2 linked regions of the Drosophila melanogaster genome follow. The protein of the gene in region 1 interacts with the protein of each later gene in a biochemical or structural test. Each region holds a gene or a part of one and is shown in the gene's direction. Other genes may lie near its edges.

Region 1 (11,756 bases):
CCAGCACCGCCAACGCCATTGCTTCCAGCTTTGCGCCCACCTCGACCCCTCAGCTCTTTGGCAATTGGGGTGAAAAGAAAACGGACTTGACCACCTTTGGTGCTTCTTCCGGTTCGGGAACGACTACAACGCCTAGCTTCGGCTGGTCGAGCAATGGAGATGCGGCAAAGAGCAACAGCGCTGCGGTCGGCAGTGCGGCGGTGCCTTCGTCTTCGGCCTCCACGATGGCGACTCCGATATTCGGCAGCAGTTCCATGTTTGGACCATCCAGTAGCAGTAACAACACCACCAGCACCAGCACCACTAGTCTACCATTCGGATCAGCGGCGACCACTGCCGCAACTACGCCGGCGGGCGGCAATGCAGCCCTTACTGGGTTATTCGGCAATGTGGGCAACTCTCTAGCGGGAGTAGGAGCTCCTGTAGCCACAACACCAGCGGCAACAGCTGCTGCTCCATTGACCAACATCTTTGGCAATCCCACGCCAGTTGCTGCTGCCGCGCCTGTCTTCGGCAGCGGAAGCACCATCCCAAGCGCAGGATTTGGAGCGCCTGCTGCAGCTGCTCCGTTGGCGGCCCCAGCGTTACCAGGAGCATTTAACTTTGGCGGAGCAACTGCAGCCACGCCAGCTGTAAGTACATTTATACGAATTCAATTCTGCACGAATTCCAATCCGCTTTTTCGCATATTGCAGGCCTCAAGTGCTCCATTTGTATTCGGAAGCAGCACCAATGAGCCGCTGGCCAAACCGTCGTTCAACTTCACCGGCTCGGCGGCCAGCTCGACTGCTCCTGCGCCAGCCTTCAATTTCACGGCCAATACGGCGGCCACTAATAATCCCTCCGGTGGCGATGTAAGTATACGATTTCCACCCAACTCCCAGTAGATCACCAAACCACCAGTCCACCACCCCGCCCCACCTGATCAACTTATATAGTATTCGCAGTACAAGCACAAGGTGATCGATGGGAGATGAGCGCCTGATGTGATGATGAAGTAGATCGATCACACCACACACTCACTCACCCAGGTTTCATCCATACAAATGTGTTTGCGATTGTTTGTAGTCGTAGCTGTCCGTCATATTTCCTTTTAATTTTCCGACTTGCATGCCCACGTTATAGAAATTATAACAATGCGATCAAAAATCGATCGATCCCCCTAATATAAAACATACCTGGCCGACATTGTATATTAATTTAGAGCTAGTTACTTACCGTATTGATTTTACCTTCTAACTTTTATACATACATACAACGTCTCTCTATCTATATATATATATATATATTTATTTGTATTCTTCTCTCATTTTCTTTTTTATCTTTTTCCACAACCCTTTCTACACAAAAACGGTCGTGCGTGTTGTTACTGTTGAATAATATTGTCGTATACCATGTAACTTAATGTATACACTCCTTAACTACGCAACTTCCGTAAATCTGTAATGTACACTCTATGTACTGAAAAAAAAAAAACGAAAACTCTGTGGGCACGGGCACGAATCAACTTTACTACCATCCATCCTACTACTACCTATTATTATAATTACCAATCCTTCTGCAAAATGAACATGAAAATGAACTACCCGGTAAAATGAACATGAAAATGAACTACCCGGCAAAATGAACATGAAATTGAACTACCCGGTAAAATGAACATAAAAATGCACTGAATGGATCTGCAAATGAATTCGAATCGCAATACAGTCGCATCCGCGCATCTTCCAATTCGGTAGTTCGCAACCGGCGGCCAATAACCAGTTTGGTGGTGCGGGCGGTGCCACCAACAACTCCGCCGGCGGTATGCCCATGTTCAACTTTTCGCCCGGGGCGCCGCAGATGCAGGTAATGCGAGGTCATGCGCGATATCCAGAGAGTTTCGCCGACTCGATTTTAACGATATCCGATTGCTAATACCCAGTACTTTATGCCATTTCTTATGTACTCATAAATGCATATGTAGAACGGGGAATGCCAAAGAAATTCGCGCATAATCAATTGTATATAACTTAGTGTCATTTCTTATAATACAAATAGTACAAAGGCTTTTACAAATCTAACATGTATTAGTTTATTATATATTTAATATGTTTTAGAGTACATCTTAATTTTGATTCTAGATTTCATTTTTAAATCGTAGAGTATAGGATTCCCTAAAATGCAGCTAGTACATATTTTCTTTGGCACTCTCCGTGTATGAAAGTCACATTATAACCATTATTTATGCATATCTTGCTTGTCTCATCTTGCTCCATTAGCTGTAGTTGAATGCATGCACATATTTCTGTAGTTGTAAGTAGTTTTCCTAGAACGCATGTGTCGCAGGGCTTGTCAAATGATACATACCTAACAATTAGAATCGAAAGTAGATTTTTTTCAATGTGTTATATATGTATGTATGTTTCCTGTGTAGTTAAGCATGCGTTAACGGTATATTTTTGACAAGCTCTCACGTATGCACACCATCCCCCACCTCCCACACGCATGCACGTACACACACACACACACCACACACATACAAAGATGCACAGCAGTTGTCATTCTTCATATAGCAATTTCCATCAAAATTTTCAATTTGTACATAACCAAAAAAAAAAAAAGCACATAATACCCATCAACCATCCAAAACCCAATCTGTATGTAGAAGAAGAAGCAAATATTAACCATCAACCATCGTGATCCGTCCTATAAAACCAAAAGAAAAAAAACCAACGAAATTTACTTGCTATACAAAACCAACTTACCAAGGAAAACATACCAAAAATATTCTTCTTGCAGTCCACACCGAATGCCAATGCACTGTTCCAATTTAGCGCGACCTCCACAGCGCCAGCCAATATATTTGCGTAAGTAAGACAGAGACGGATGTTCCGATCCGTTGGTGAAGGGTTGTCACCCACAAATGCGAGCGAGACAGACGTAAGAGCGGCCCGAAGAGAGAGAGAGAGAGAGAGAGAGAAGTTTACGCGCTTTTTGTTGCTGTCGCCCTCTTTCCGTACTTTGAATTGATCCTTTTACCAACACAATCGAAGAACACAGAGACACACACACACAAACACACACAGCTGCATTATAATTGCATTTGTTTTATTTTTAAGCATTTCGTTTTGTTGTGCGTACCATTTGTTTTGTTTTTGTTGAGAAGAAAAGCTTACTACCTATCATATTTACACATGGGTAAAATAGGCATTAACAAGATTGTTCAGTTTTCCGAATTTTGAAAAGCAGGCTTAAATCAATTGGCCAAAAAAAAATGTGGTATGTTAGCTTAAAATGGGCTTTATACATTTACAATGTTTTAAAATCAAGTGATCTAATTAAAAAAGATTTTCAAAGAAAAATATATTCGTAATTTAAGTTTAGAGAGACAAAATTCTTACAATCATTACTTACTATATGTTTTCGCCCTCATTTACCATTTATGTTCATAAAAAACTGGTTTAAGCTGTGCTTAAAAAAATCAACTAATGAAAAATGAATAGTATTATAAATCAATCATTTTAATCATATTGTCATATATGGAAACTGGCCACAAGTGAAAACTAAATCGAAGTTAAAAACGCATCCATTTCCTCCACGGAATGGTTTATTTACCATTGTGTAAATAGGATATATGTAGCATTTTCTATATCCTGCGAATTTCATATTTTACTATAGTTTGTGTTTGTCTTATTTGTGTGTGCCATATTGTTTCGTTTTGTTCATAGCATTTCGTATCCATATATTATTTGTTCAATTAATGTTTTTTGTCCACATTACTCGCTGTAAGCAGCAGCAGCAACCGCCAGTGGGAGTCTCGAAATTGACCAACCAAATATGATAATGATACTAATCCATTGTTAATCCGCAGCTTCAATCCGCCAGCTGCGGGCAACTCGGCGCAGAGTTCCCAGACGGCTCGCCGCAAAATCCGCGCCCCCGTACGCCGTTTGCCGCCCCGGTAGAAATGGCATCGCAGTCGGCCATCACGATAGCAAATGAGGCCGCCGTCGGATTAGGATTAAGATATTGGCAGCCATTGCCGAGAGTAACAGAATCAGCAGTAGCAGCAAAAGCATCAAGGGCCGAAAAGGAAAAGCAAGACACAGAAGACGCCGGCAACAATAGTGGGCTCAAAGGTTCGGTCCAGAGCCAATATCACCAGGAGCCAGATATTCAAGGATCATCGAGGATAAACATGCAGTCACCAAAGTCGCCATGTGTGAACAAATACCGCTTCGTACGCCGCCACAGCCTGAACTCTGAAACCAGGAAACCCTTTAGCAGGAATATTTGGCAGAATACAACAGGAGAAGGCAATGAAACCAATGGCGACGATGTCCCTAAAACACCAACAACTGGCGACCAGGAGGACAACCAACAGGAGGAACGAGATTCAGCGGTATATACATCAACAGAACGAACTGTACTAGTAAGGACCCAATTCAAGATAGTGCGGCAAAGGAGCGTCATCTCGAAACCGAGACAGAAGCCTCCGACTTACTCTTAAAAAGCTAAGGAATAGGTTCGTTCCACATCCTTCTCTGCTCTCCGATGATTGGGAGATGACCACGCGAATGTCGCTCATACTACGCATATTGATGATTACAAATTATAAAAACACTTCGTTGGATTTACGCGAGAATTCATCGCACCAAAAAAAAAACGAAAATGAATATATTTTAACGTTATTTTTGTTGAATATATAATATACCTTAACGATAATTATGTAATAATTATTTTGCGAAATAGTAAAGAAACGTGTAATGCTGCAATCAAACAGAGATGCGAGGCCATGTAATAGCGCAAAAAATCAACTACTGTATAATGTAGTAATACGTATATTCGAGTTATTGGCCGATACGTCGAGCATATGATGATTGCAGTCAGATAAGAGCGATCGGCAAACGATTGCATTAAGTCTTTAGTTTTTGTTATTAATTTTAGCGTTTAGATTCACACACACACAATTCACACGAGGAAAATACCTGCAACGACGTTCTGTGCAGCAGCCAAGGTGGAAAGCCAACAAATTAAAGAAAAACAACTATCTAGCAACGTAAAGAAACCAACCAACCCTATAGCTAACAAGATAACAGATTAGATGAAAAGATTAGAGAGAATGGTGGCAAACTGGAAAACCGAAAGAGTTATAATTGTATGCATGTTTTTTATATACATAAATTCATAAAGAACATTTAATATTTTATTTTAAGTTTATATTGATCATTTTTAAGTCGAGAACAGAAATGGAAATCAGAAGTCTATGTTGAGAGAGAAACGGTATCATAATGTAAATAAGTAAATATATGCGGTATGATAATTTAAACATTGTGCTCTTTACTTGGGTTTTCAACTGGAATTGCAATGAAATTCTATAACGAATATTTGGTGTCTTAAAGTACATATCTTACTTTGAATGGTAATTGTTTTCAGCGCGAATACTTTACAAACATTTGAATTTCGAAAAGCCAGTTGACCACAGGCGAACTCACCATGCCACGGCAACGGTCACACTGCCGCCATTGCGATAGACATCGATAGCCGTTCCAGCACTAATACTCACGATAAACACCACCTCTATTTCTGGCATCGGCAATTATTTCCCTAGGTTTATTATTTTTTTGTTAAGCGAATTGCTTGTGCGCTCGTGCTGTCGCCATAATGTGTGCAATGTGTGCCAGCCAGAGGAGCAAGTGGTGAAGGTGTATCGCTTGTGCGCATCTCGATTTGTCCATCCATATCCAATTGAATCCCAGTTTCCCAGTCGCGTCCGCTGCTATGCGTGTGTGTGTGCGTGCGTGCCCGTGTCCCTGCATGTGTGTGTGTGAGTGAGATCGGGAAGAAGTTGTGTGCTGTTGTTGTTGTTGTTTCTGTCGGATTTGCCGTTGCCATCGTTTGTTGTTTGTGCATTTTCCATTGTCGGGCGACGCAACAAAAAGAAAAAAATTACACATTAAAAATAGAGAGCAAGAGCGAGAGGGAAGGAGTGGTGTGGAGTGGAAAAGGGCGGTAAAAGGGCAGAAATTTGGAGCACGGGAAATCCGAGTCGCTGAAGATGTTCTCGAAGAAGAAAAAGAAACCGCTGATCTCGATGCCCAGCAATTTTGAGCATCGTGTGCACACGGGCTTCGACAAGCGGGAGAACAAATATGTTGGCCTGCCCCTCCAATGGGCGTCCATTGTGGGCAACAATCAGATACTCAAGTCCTCCAACCGCCCGCTGCCACTGGTCGATCCCTCGGAGATTACGCCCACCGAGATTCTCGATCTGAAGACTATTGTGCGTCCGCATCACAACAACAACAAGGCGGACACCACCTCGCTCAACAGCAGCAGCACAATGATGATGGGCTCAATGGCGCCGATGAATCCCATGGCACCTGGCGCACACCCAATGATGAGCCATGGCCCCGGAATGATGATGCCACCCGAGACGGGCGGCATAGTCCTGCCGAAGACCTCTCACGTGGCCAGATCCAATTCGCTGCGGAGTTCCAGTCCGCCGCGAGTGCGACGGGTAGCCAATGTGCCGCCATCGGTGCCGGAGGAGGAGGGACCACCGGCAGCTGGAACACCGGGAGTAGGTGGAGCTAGTAGCGGTGGCTTTAAGCCACCCGGTGCCCATCCCTCCCTGCTCTATAACAGTCAGCATGCGCACGCGAATGGAGCAACAGGACCACTGGCCGTGCGCACGGATCAAACCAACCTGCAGCAGTATCGCAGCAATCTGGCCCCGCCATCCGGCGGCTCCATGCCCCAGCAACAGCAGACTTCGCCCGTGGGTTCGGTGGCCAGTGGCACGCGATCCAATCACTCGCACACGAACAATGGCAACAGCGGCGGCAGCTATCCTCCCATGTATCCCACAAGCCATCAGCAGCAGCAGCAGCAGCAACAGCAGGCCAAACAGGGTGGCGATCAGAACCAAAATCCTCTGCATCCGCATGCTCATCCGCATCCGCACCATCACCAACATTTGGCCAAGTCGGCGTCCAGGGCATCCAGTTCCAGCGGGGGAGCGAGCAGTGCTGCCCAGCAGGCGAGCGGCGCCAGTGGAGGAGCGGCGGGTCAGCCAAAGCAGGACCAACGACTCACCCACGAACAGTTCCGTGCCGCCCTTCAGATGGTGGTCTCCGCCGGTGATCCACGCGAGAACCTCGACCACTTTAACAAAATAGGCGAGGGCTCCACGGGCACCGTATGCATTGCCACGGACAAATCCACAGGCAAGAACATCCGCTTTAACTATTGTCAAAACCATTGAATTAATGGCATTTGGTTTTCTCATTACGTACAGGTCGCCAGGTGGCCGTGAAGAAGATGGATCTGCGCAAACAGCAGCGACGGGAGCTGCTATTCAACGAGGTCGTCATCATGCGGGACTACCATCATCCCAATATCGTGGAGACATACTCCAGCTTTCTGGTCAACGATGAGCTTTGGGTGGTGATGGAGTACCTCGAGGGCGGCGCCCTCACCGATATTGTCACCCATTCGCGCATGGACGAGGAGCAGATAGCCACCGTCTGCAAGCAATGCTTGAAGGCTTTGGCCTATTTGCACTCACAGGTGCGTGACCAGCATGACACTGCCCCTTTCCTGTCCCCGTTCCCATTACCATTCCCTTGGCCAAACTGGGCAGCAGAGAACGGAGTACTCGCCATCATGCGATTCTTTGTGCCTTTGTACCTTGCCATTTGCGGCGCTTTCTTCGCCCTCCGCTTTCGCGTGGCTTTGGTTTCAATTTCTAAATGTTGTCACCAACAAAAGTCGTCGGCCGCACAGTGGGCCATCGAGTGGCGTAGCACGCCCAAAGTGCCAGGTGAAATCGCACGTGCATGCCCTACCTCAAAGCGAAAAGTGTGCATAGAGCGATTTTCGAATGGATAGTTAATTGCATCTTATGATGAAGGAAGTTTAAAGTTATAGTTCATTACTCATTGATAGATAAGCCAATTTGCTATGATTTTGCCTGAGATACAACTTGAGATATTAAAACTATCAATATTAGAATAGCATATAATAATAATATTAAGTCAGTCAGTCAATTGGAACTTGTTTAAGCCCCAACATTTCACAATACTAAGCATTCCTAATGTTTTAGATGTAGTCTATTTAAATGAAATTAGAACTAGAACCCAACCTGTTTATGCTATCTTCCACGTTAGGGAAACCAGCGTGTTCCCAAGAGCAGGAAATTCTTTTTGGGCGTTGCAGGGTCGATCTGGTTTCTTTTGTGCATTTCTGTCCCACGTTGGCTCGTGTAATGCGATAAGTGTCTGTCTGCGGGAGAAAGGGCGTTGGTTGGGGGAAAACCGCAAACTGTGAACGCTTTTAACCAATTTCCCTTCTCTCTCTGTCTCTTTCGACGGTGCTGCCGATGGCGATAAACCATAAACAGGGCGTCATTCATCGCGACATCAAGTCGGACTCGATTCTGCTGGCCGCCGATGGTCGCGTGAAGCTATCGGACTTTGGATTCTGCGCCCAGGTGTCACAGGAGCTGCCGAAGCGCAAGAGTCTGGTTGGCACGCCGTATTGGATGTCGCCGGAGGTCATATCGCGCCTGCCGTACGGCCCGGAAGTGGATATCTGGTCGCTGGGCATCATGGTCATCGAGATGGTGGACGGCGAGCCGCCGTTCTTCAACGAACCGCCGCTGCAGGCGATGCGTCGCATCCGTGACATGCAGCCGCCGAACCTGAAGAACGCGCACAAGGTCTCGCCGCGCCTGCAGTCCTTCCTCGACCGGATGCTGGTGCGGGATCCGGCGCAGCGTGCCACCGCCGCCGAGCTGCTGGCCCATCCCTTCCTGCGCCAGGCAGGACCGCCGTCGCTGCTGGTTCCGCTGATGCGCAATGCGCGACACCATCCGTAGTTGGATGCCACTGGACAACCCAGACGATCCGGCTGCTCGATGAAAGCAATCATTCCCACAGACAACGGATCCCGGCCCGTGGGCATCCATCTATTAAATTCTAGTATTAACATTCAGTTTGGCAGCTGTACTTAAATCCCCGGAGAATCCTCGAAACGTTGTAAAGTCATTTAAGCTCCGCACATCCATATCCATATCCATGCCCACTAACGTTCCAGAAGAGAACGCAATGTGCCTTTCACAAGCCTCGAAATCGAAATTGAAATCGCATCCTGCAACCGATACGGATGGAGAAACGATATAGCATTTATCTGCCCGAGAACCACATTTTTATATATATATATATATATACATATATGAGTATTTCAGCATTTTGCTCTCTGTCTCTTGTCAATATTGATTTGTGTGCGTGTGTGTTTGATTTTTTTTAACCAGCCCATAAAACATTGTTCGAATATATACATATATACGCTAAGAGCTAATGTTAAAAATCTATATATATATATATATACACATATATTTTTTATAAAAACAAATCCTAATTCTAAGCAAAAGCGAAACAACGAAGGTGTGAATCGAAGGGAGACAGAAAACGAAAGAGAAAGAGATAGCGTTAGGCGGAAGAGCATATACAATTTCGACATAAATATTTTTTAAACATTTTACATTTTACATTGGTGTGAAAAGTTTGTACGCTCCAGACATACACATATGCATATATCTAAACACATTCCCGATTTCGAAAATATTTTAGAACTTTTAGCTTACATTCTTTGTTCTGTTTTTTTGATTTAACCCGTGTAATTATTAATTAATGAATAAACTTAAATGCGAAAATGTTCAATTTTGTGGTTTCATTCATAGTTAAAAACTACCAAAAATAACTAGAAATCCAAAAAAAAATTTCTGAATAGAAATATTGAATATTTTAATATTTTATTCGACATTTTGGAGTTTCATTTTAAAGATATTTCTGTTTTTTTTATTACAAACTAATTGAAAAATGCATGTTTCGATTTTGTTGTTTTTATTACTGGTTGATTGATTGTTTGATTGATTGATTGATTGTTTGATGGTTGTGAAGAATACATAATTGTGCCCGCTTAAATACTCGCACATATATTCGCAAAATATATATGCGTATTTATCGCGTACATGAAGGATGGGGTACTGGCTCTGGATAAGTGGGCGTGGTCGTTGTGGCGTTGGTGGGTGGGTGTGTGTGAGTTGAGTGAGTGTTGTGTGTGCGCGTGTGTTTTTGTTTACAACATAAGATTACAAATATATTACATACACGAAAAATCAATTGCGAACTAAAAACTAAAGGGCAGATCGGGCTGCCACATAGCTAGCCATATGATTCGATGGGTAGAGGGGGGGGGGGAGAGAGAGGGGAAATGTGGTGTTGGAGAGGGGGGGGAGGGTTTGTTGTTTGCTGGTCACTGGGAATGTGTGTAGAATAGGAGTTGGATCTGATTGACACTCAAATCAACGCTCAGTTGCGCTTCCGCAGGGCCAGACGACCGATGGGGCGCTTGGGCTTCGTCTCCTCCTTCTGCTGCTGCTCCGATTCCTCAGCGGCGGCATCCTCCACCGCCTCCACGGGCGTCGCCTTGGCGGGCTTCGACAGCTTGCGACGGCTCACTGGGGATAGTTAAAGCGTTAGTTAGTAATGGATTTAATAACTTGATATAGAGAGATGATTTTAAAGATTTCTATTCTAGTTTAATGTCAATTATTTCAAAATTAGTAAATTCAGAAGGCACTGCTAGTCCATTTAGAGCAAAATCCTGGCCTAATCCCTGACTAACTTACATGCTGAGTTGCCCTTGTAGCCCTTGGCGGGACTGGATGCTGGGGCGGGTGCTGGCGCGGATGCCTGCTCCTCCTGCTCGCCGGAGTTGGACTCGTCGCTCTTCTTGGCCGGCTTGCTGGGACTGGGCGGCTTCTCGGCACGGTGCTTCTTCGCGTTCGCCTGACGGCGCTTCAGCGAGTTGAGGAAGTCATCGTTGGAGCGGAACGGCCGGATAACCGGGCCGACCTTTTTGGGCGCCTCCGTGGTGGTGGTGGTGGTAGAGCTGGCAAAGGACGCCTCGTCGCCCTCCTCGCCATGATCGCCGTGCTCGCCGGTTTCCTCGTCATACTCCTCGCCCTCGCCGCCGGCATCCGCTTGTGCTGGCGCCGCTGTCGTCGTGGTTGTCACCTTGGCCGCCTTCCCGACCGGACGGCGCAGGGCGGCGATTCTCTTCGCCGGCGAAACGGCGGGACCACCCTCCTCCTGAGCGGAGACCACTCCGTAGCACAGGACGCAGACGATGAAGAGCAGGCAGCTAAGTGGATTAAAAAAAATATAATAAATTATTAATAATTATATAATTATACTGCAATGAAACAAAATTATTTAATAATTCATGCCAATCGTATATAGCTCCTATTTTAAATACTTATGCTTTTACTCATTTAAATACTTTGAAAACTGCCAAAAATAGCTCATTAAAAACCATTGCCAAAAGTGGAACACCATTTAATTACTGAAATAATTTTCAAATGGTTAAAAAGACAAAAAACACACTTCCTTATACTTAAATTAAATTATACTTTAAATAAGTATTCTGAAGGTTTCTTGAAAAATTCGATCTTGCTATCATTAGTCAGTAACATTAGAATTTAAATGCAAGTGCCTATTTGTTGCCATGATTAGATGCTTAAATATTCAAATTTTACATAAATCAATACTGAATTGTTGCCATTAAAATCCCATTGGTTGTTTATACGAACAATGTTTCGTTAATTACGAGTATTATTTACTGGAATAACTTGAATTTCGAAGTCGCTGGTGCAATGTACCGCTCGACTTTCGAATCGATACGAAACGGATCTATTCGAATCGATTCAG
Region 2 (7,677 bases), 3.1 Mb from region 1:
CCTGCTTGGAGTTGCGCAGGTAGTCGAGGTGGTTGCGCTCCATCTCATTGGTGATCTGCTCCATCTCGTTGTCGGTGAGTATGAACTCCTTGGGCTCGAAGTCGTCCGAAATGCCGCTGGAGTTGTCACCTTGGACCAGGTAGTGTGACGAGTGGGTGGTCAGCTCGGCGCCGCCGGCGGTCTCCAAATCATTGGTTGAGCTGCTTGTGATCAGGGAGGGTGTGCTGATGGCCGCCATGCTGGACGCCGTATTCGCCGCGTGCGACACACTGGAGGCGGTCAGCAGGCTATCCGTGGAGGACTTGCGGCCGCTGTTGAGGAATTCGAGCAGGCGAGCGGTGGCCTCGCGCTCCGCCATTTTGGCGCAGATCAGCTCCTTGCGCAGCTTCTCAGTCTCGGCCTCCCGCTTGTCGTTCTCCACCGTCAGCTGGTGGACATAGAAGTCGGCGTCGCGAATCTTCTTCTCCAGGTCGTGCTTCTCCCGCTCGATTTTCATTTGTCGCTCGCGCAGCCGGTCCATTTCCGTCTTGAAGTGGTTTGCCTTGCACTCGGTCAGCTGCATCTGCTCCTCGTTGACACGACTCTTTTCGAAGTACAGCTCCTTGGTCTCTTCGGAACGCCGCTGGGATACAGGGAGAAACTCAATATTATAGATCAGAAGCCACTGGGCGGAGTGAGTCTTACAAGTGCATCGTTGGCCATGCGCATTTCGTTTTGCAGGTGCTCCATGCTCTTCTCCAGCTCGTAGCGCTCGTGCTCCGCCTTTTCGCGCAGCTTCTTTTCCCTGATGAACTTTTTGCGTTCGATCTGGCGGCGTTGCTTCTCCTCCTTGGCTTGGGCCTTCATCTGCTGGATTTCCATGGTGTCGGGTTTGCGGCGGCGCATATATAGATCGTGATTGCCCTTGCACAGGTCAAGAATCTGCAAAGCACACGATGCAAGTGTAGTATGAATATGGGAACATGAACATAGTGAAAATACATATACATATTTCAGTTGTCACAACTGCCCTCCTTACCATTTTGTTGATGTGGAGGTCCTGCGAGTAAAAGATGAAATTCGAAACCTTGGCATCCACCAGGCGAATGGTGAACTTCTTGTCGTCGAAGCTGACGTGCCGTATCTCGTTCCACTGGAACGTTGTCTTTGGCGTTAGCTTATCGCGCTCATCGTAGATGTTTAGGCCCACGGAGGTGACGCCCAGCCACAATTTGGTTTTGTTCTTATTCTGGTGGGGAACACAAACGATAAGATTCAGATGCGCCACGTGAAAATCAAGGCTCTCACCGTAATAGGAAAGTAGTTTACTCCGTACATGTCCAGGTCCTGAGCAATCTTCAGGTACTCCATCTCCACCTCGTCGCGCGTCATGGGCTCATGGTCCATGTACCATGTCTTGATCCGTTCCTCCCACATTTCGGGCGTCATCTGGTACTGATCGGTCACTCCCTTGGGCAGAAGCTCACCCCCGGCCAGCATACCGTCCTTGTAGGTCTCGTAGTCGTACGGACCGTATTGCACGTGCACCGCGTAGGAGGCCAGCAGCACGGACGCCTCCGGGCGGCAGTAGATGTCCATGGAGAGGATGCTCTGCTTGACCTGCAGGAAGAACAGGTGCTGCGTGATCTCCTGGATCAGCTCCTCGCTGACGTTCTCCGGAAAGAACTTGGCGTAGAAGCTAAACACATACACATTATTGCTAGCGTGCAGCTCAACGCGCTGGTCGCGCACCCGCTTCTCCATTTTCAGCCAGGACACGTTGCTGCGGGTGTCGACGTACTGCAGCCCAAAGTACCAAGACTCGCGCAGCCCGATGGTGCGGCACACCAGGTCGAACAGATCCTGGCCGGAGGCGCGCGGCTCCAGCTTGAACTCCAGCTCCGAGTCGAAGGTGCTCACCCGCACCGACAGGGATCGGTTTTTCTTGGAGCCGAAGGGGCTCATCGCGATTATGTGATGTGTTTTGATTAGATTCGACGCAATGTGATGTGATGCGTTAGATGCAATTGGATTGGAGTGGGAACTGAGTGCTCTTGTGGGCAATTCGTGATAACCTGTTGCGTGCAAAGGACTTGTTGCTCCTGCTAATCTGATTCTTGGTCCTTCTGGTGCTCCTGTGCCATCTAGTGGCACGATTCCTTGTTGCTGCTCCTGCGGTCCTCGCCTATCGCGGACTGCCTCATTTTGCAGCCAATTCGGTGCTCCGGGCAATGGCAATGGCAATTTGGGCTGATGGCTGTGAGCGGAAAGAAAGAAAGAGTAAGGCTCTTCGTTTATGCGGCGCTGCGATTTAAGAACTGCGTGGCCACGGCATCCTGGCGCCCACTATTCAACCGCTCACCCAGCTCCTTTGGCGTGGAAGCTGATTGAGGGTCGGCAGAAGGGTCTCCACATCGACCAAGTACGAGAATAGGCAACTTACTCGATTGTTTGCACCGCGAATCGCAATTGTACGACAAATTCCCGATATGCGCGACATAAACATAGACAGTGTGACCAGCCGTTAGATGCAGAAAAATCAGCTTTGGCAGACGCCTTGTATATTTAGTAGGGTGATTCCATTTCAATTTTATGGAGGAATCATAATGCTTAAATTAATCCATCTCAAACGACATAAAGCATTGAAATGTCAATATATGCACATGAAAACATATTAAATACCTTAAAAATATATTAACTTTCCATTTTCCAAAAGTTTTCAAAAACTGGCAAAACAGTGGTAGTCCAAATACCAAAATATACCGCAATATGTTTTTTCAAATTGTACACTCATTTTTAGTTATACGAATTTTTGAATGCTGCGAAATAGATTTGATCAGCTATTTGATGAAAGATGAATTAACTAAAATAACACAGTGCTATATAGAGTTGCCACCCTGTCAATGGTCACGAATTGGGAAAATGAAGTCCTTGAGCGCAATATTTGTTTTAAAGATTTGTCTAAGGATGAGATGTATTACTATGTAAATGTTTATTGGACGTATTCTTGTATTGCAGGTCCATGCTTAAATTCTCGGAATAAGCAAAATGACCATGTCAGCAGATGCGTATATAAACAATGAATAAGTCCAGCTTTCGTTTTATCAGGTCCCTGTAGCTTATTTTCCATCTCCACCGACTCAGCAATGAACTTGTACCCCCCTGGATATCGTATTTCATCGAAATAGGAAAATATAAAGATATGGAGGTTTTCTTACATTATTCTTAGAATAAATTATACATGCAGGATTATAAATACATATTGAAGGGATGGTAACCGATGAACATAGTTTATATATATTCATGTGCGTGTTTGGGGGACTCTTAGCTCAATTTATACTACTATTATTATGTGTATGCATCAGGGGTGATGCTAATGCCATGCAAGTAAACAATGCTTATCACACAAACGCAAGTGACTCCAGACACGGATATCCGAATCCGTGCGCAGAGAAGACTGAACGGAGGCGAATTACTTTGAACCTAGAGAGAGTGTTGCTGCAGATAACTCGTGTTGGCACTTAAATGGCTGTGCCAGGACTTGGACTCGCACACCGGAATCCATGATCACTAGCTACTGGCTGCTCCGCTTGATGCGCTCGACATGCAGGTCGTACAGCATCTTGTTCTTCTCGTAGTAAAATGGGTTTTGTTCGGCTCCCAGTTCTGGGTTGTATTCGTATCCGGCCGCCACACCGTTTCCGGCTGCATCGGACCCGCCGGATCCACCAGTCGCTCCTCCTCCCGACAGTGGCGGAATGCTGCAGCTGCTGCTGCTGCTGCTGTTCCCATCCTCGTAGTTCAGATTCAGGTTGTTGATGCGCTTCGAAAGGGGCGACTCGCAGGCCAGTTCATCCTCCCGGCTGCGCTTTCTGTGGAGGAATGGTGTGCGTTTGATTAGCGCTGGGACCTCACTACCTTGGTCAAGGTGATTACCTTGTCTTCAGGAATCCAGCCATTCCGATCCCGGGGCCAGTGCAGTGTGTTGGTTTCGGTTCCTATTGGTCAATTGTTTTGTCCTGCCCCGTTTCACAGCAGCGACATCCACCAGTGTGACTGCCTCGAAGTTCGAAATTGGCTGTGGGATATACCAATGGGTTGTGCTAAATATACCGCTAATCGAGGTTTGTTTTTTCTTAAATGGAAATCACAAATAGCCAACCCAAACAGCAGATATTGTTAAGAAAACCGAGATTATATTGTATCCAAACAAATAGAATATTTTTGGGAGGGAGGGATAAAGTGAATCTAAAAGTTGTCTCAGTGACAAATAGCGCCAAGTGAGAATATTTTATACCCAACAATTACTTCACGATGACACGATGAATACAGCTGCGGTTAAAATAATAACACTACTGCAGGTGGAAAGTTGATTTACCAAAAAAAATAATTAAATGTTTTATTTTTTTAAGTCAGATTGCATGAATAATAAGAACCATATGTTGTCTCTCTGAGCAAGAAATTTTTACTCTCTCAATGTAACGGTTCTTTTTGTTTTTGGGCACTTGCTGTGGTAACAAAAATAGCACCGATCACGTATTTGCTGAATACAATTAATAGGAGTGATTGCTTTGGGTTTTTTTTTCGACAAATTTTGAAAAAAGGAGTTGCAATAAAGGTTTTAATTGAATTTTTTCCAAACGAAGACAAAAAATTCTCTAGTCATGGGTCGCGGAAAGCATTGTACCGTCGAAAAAAGAAATTTGATTAAAAACATGATTTCTGAACGTAAAACCTACGCTGAAATTGGTCGCATTGTCGGTTGTTCAAACAAAATGATCCGCAAAGCACTGCTGTTTGTCGAAAAGAAGGAAACACGGCGAAGAGAGCCCTCAATGTCCAACGTGGAGATCAAGCGCTTGGTTTGGCAAAGCAAGAAGGAGTCTTTTAAGCCGGCGACGGAACTGAAGAAGGAGCTTCAGATAGCTGCAAGCGTGGAAACAGTTCGCAAACGCTTAAGACAAAACAACCTTAATGCGTGCAGCCCCAAAAAAGTACCGCTTTTGACTGTGAAGCATGTGGCAAAGCGAATCGAATATGCCAAGATACACAAGGACTGGCCTATGGAGAAGTGGTGCAACATTTTGTGGTCAGATGAGATCAAAATTGTGTTGTTTGGTGGGAAAGGCTCTCGGTCTTATGTTCGGCGTCCACCACGACGTCCACCACTAAATATAATCCTCGCTTCACCTTTAAGTCGGTAAAAAACGGGGGATCAAGCATCATGGTATGGGCGTGCTTTTCATGGTATGGAGTAGTTCCAATCCATTGGATTCAAAGCATCATGGATCAGCACATTTACTGTCATATGCCGAGGATGAAATGCCGTTGGTTTGGACATTTCAACAGGATAACGACCCAAAACACACGAGCAAGAAAGCTCAAAGTGGTTTGAGCAGAAGTAGATCCGAGTAATGAAATGGCCTGCTCAGTCACCCGACTTGAATCCAATCGAAAACCTTTGGGCGGACGTGAAAAAAGGGTTTCTGAAGCCAGACCCAATAATAACGAGGAATTTTGGGGTGTGGTCAAGGATTCAGGAAGCAAAATTCCTCAAAAACAGTGCCAGGACTTGGTGGAGTCCATGCCAAGACGATGTCCAGCTGTCATTACCAGCATAGGTCACGCAACCAAATATTAAGATTCTTTAAACATAGTTTTTAAGATATAATCCGTTTGTTTAAATTTTTTTAAAAATTTTTTAAAAAATTTTTTTATTTAGTTTTGGCAAACTACAAGAAACAGTGCTATTTTTGTTACCGCCTAAATTTGAAGGTTTTTTTTTGTTTTACCAATTATTTTATCCATTAGATCTGTTACTAATTTTTTTATTTCGATTGAAAATCATTGTAGTATTTAAGTTTAGTGAGTAAAATGATGAAAAAGTGTCAGAAAATACAGAAACACTGGGACAAACACGAAATCCGCTTATTATTGTTACCGCAACTGTATGCAGTATATTGGTCCCGCTCTGCCCGATCGGTCGGATATATAGCCCTTACAGTGACAGAGAACTTCCACCGAAAATACCAACATACCGATTGCGATGCAAGCCGGGTGGGAGTACTGCGACGGGATGGCAACGCCGCGCTAGTCACTCGCACGCAAAGAGCTCGCTGGAGAGAGAGAACGCTAACACAAAAGGAAATAGTAGTTTTCCGTACGTATCGAGCCCAGCCCAGAAAAGCGGAAAACTAAACGGATTCGACAGCGGTTGCAAATTTTAAATAACTGTAAGTAAGGCGGAAAAGGTGCCCGCAACGAGCATCCGCCGTATAGATCGCAACGCGTTTCAATTTGCCCAGTGAAAAGTGAATGAAAACCAAATGTCGATGACGGGCCTGCCTGCCTGTGTGTGTGTGTCATATGTGCGTGTGGTCCGTGCCGCAGTGTGCGTGTGTGATAAATAATTGCTTCCAAATTTCTTTAGTTTTTTGTCTGCAAATCTCGTCTAAAATCCGACTATAGCTAAAAACAGGGGGCAGCTCCAGCAGCTGACTGGGCGGCCAGTCCCGTGACCAAATAAACCATCATAAAGCCAGTAATAGTGCAGCAAAAACTGCATTAGACCAAGTGAACACGCACCGCACACACACAACCGCAAGCTGCCGTACTCGCTGCGCCCCTGCGCGCAAGTGTTTGCGTGTATGTGTGTCCAATCAGAATTTTCTGATGCCCGTCCGGCTTATCTGTGTGCGCCGTTGCTTTCCATTCTTTCCGTTCTTTCTTCGGCTTGAGTCATCGCTCATTCTGCCCAGATATGTACATATGTACATTGCACACACACTGCCGCCCCGCTCTCCTGGGCTCCGCTCCTCCTCGTTGATAAGGCGCCGCTGGCGAACGGTCACTCTGGCAGGAGTACGAGCAGGAGCAGGGAAGCCGCACCCACTAGTCATCCCCCCAGTGTAATCCGGCAAACTAACCCCCACTAATCCGCAGGAGTCATCACCCCTCTGCACAACATGCAAACCATCAAGTGCGTGGTCGTCGGCGACGGAGCCGTGGGTAAGACATGCCTGCTCATCTCGTATACAACCAACAAGTTCCCGTCGGAGTACGTGCCCACGGTGTTCGACAACTATGCGGTCACTGTGATGATCGGCGGTGAGCCCTACACACTGGGCCTGTTCGATACGGCCGGACAGGAGGACTACGATCGGCTGCGTCCGCTCTCCTATCCGCAGACGGATGTCTTCCTTGTCTGCTTTTCGGTGGTCAGTCCCAGTTCCTTCGAGAACGTCAAGGAGAAGGTACGTACAAGACTATTCTACGCCATGGCGAGACTGTAAGTGAGTCATTTTGCATTTGCAGTGGGTGCCCGAGATTACACACCATTGCCAAAAGACGCCGTTCCTGCTGGTGGGCACACAGATTGATTTGCGCGACGAGAACAGCACGCTGGAGAAGCTGGCCAAGAACAAGCAGAAGCCCATCACCATGGAGCAGGGCGAGAAGCTGGCCAAGGAGCTGAAGGCCGTCAAGTACGTGGAGTGCTCGGCCTTGACACAGAAGGGCCTGAAAAATGTATTCGACGAGGCCATCCTGGCCGCCCTCGAGCCACCAGAGCCCACAAAGAAAAGGAAGTGCAAATTCTTATAATTCTGCTTTCCTCACACGCGGTATCCCTTTCATTCTGGCTTTCTACTATCGCAATGACTCCTTCCCAGCCTCCCGTCGTCGAGAAGCATTCAATAT

The links. Proteins that work in one complex are often made in the same cells at the same time.
Region 2: the proteins of mbt (region 1) and Cdc42 form a complex in vitro, tested with the Drosophila melanogaster proteins (one study listed by BioGRID).

What each region holds. Positions count from the first base shown.
Region 1 is NC_004354.4:16,605,155-16,616,910, forward strand, and holds mbt (mushroom bodies tiny), read left to right. Parts: upstream 1-5,530; 5' UTR 5,531-6,037; coding exon 6,038-7,208; intron 7,209-7,279; coding exon 7,280-7,551; intron 7,552-7,622; exon of another isoform or gene 7,623-8,120; intron 8,121-8,383; coding exon 8,384-8,860; 3' UTR 8,861-9,702; downstream 9,703-11,756. Other genes in the region: Nup153 (nucleoporin 153kD), read left to right, coding at 1-632, 696-854, 1,708-1,845, 2,779-2,846, 3,851-3,944; CG9782 (uncharacterized protein), read right to left, coding at 10,356-10,504, 10,676-11,190. UniProt on the Drosophila melanogaster protein: Involved in neurogenesis of the adult central nervous system, and together with Cdc42, regulates photoreceptor cell morphogenesis. Phosphorylates exogenous substrates when activated by Cdc42.
Region 2 is NC_004354.4:19,691,014-19,698,690, forward strand, and holds the start of Cdc42 (cell division cycle 42), read left to right. Parts: upstream 1-6,077; 5' UTR 6,078-6,139; exon of another isoform or gene 6,140-6,212; intron 6,213-6,921; 5' UTR 6,922-6,944; coding exon 6,945-7,232; intron 7,233-7,293; coding exon 7,294-7,581; 3' UTR 7,582-7,677. Other genes in the region: Mer (merlin), read right to left, coding at 1-622, 685-921, 1,019-1,228, 1,288-1,944; CG14229 (uncharacterized protein), read right to left, coding at 3,554-3,851, 3,916-3,938. UniProt on the Drosophila melanogaster protein: Regulates mbt kinase activity and is also required to recruit mbt to adherens junctions. Together with mbt and Frl, regulates photoreceptor cell morphogenesis. Together with Frl, has a role in the neuronal development of mushroom bodies.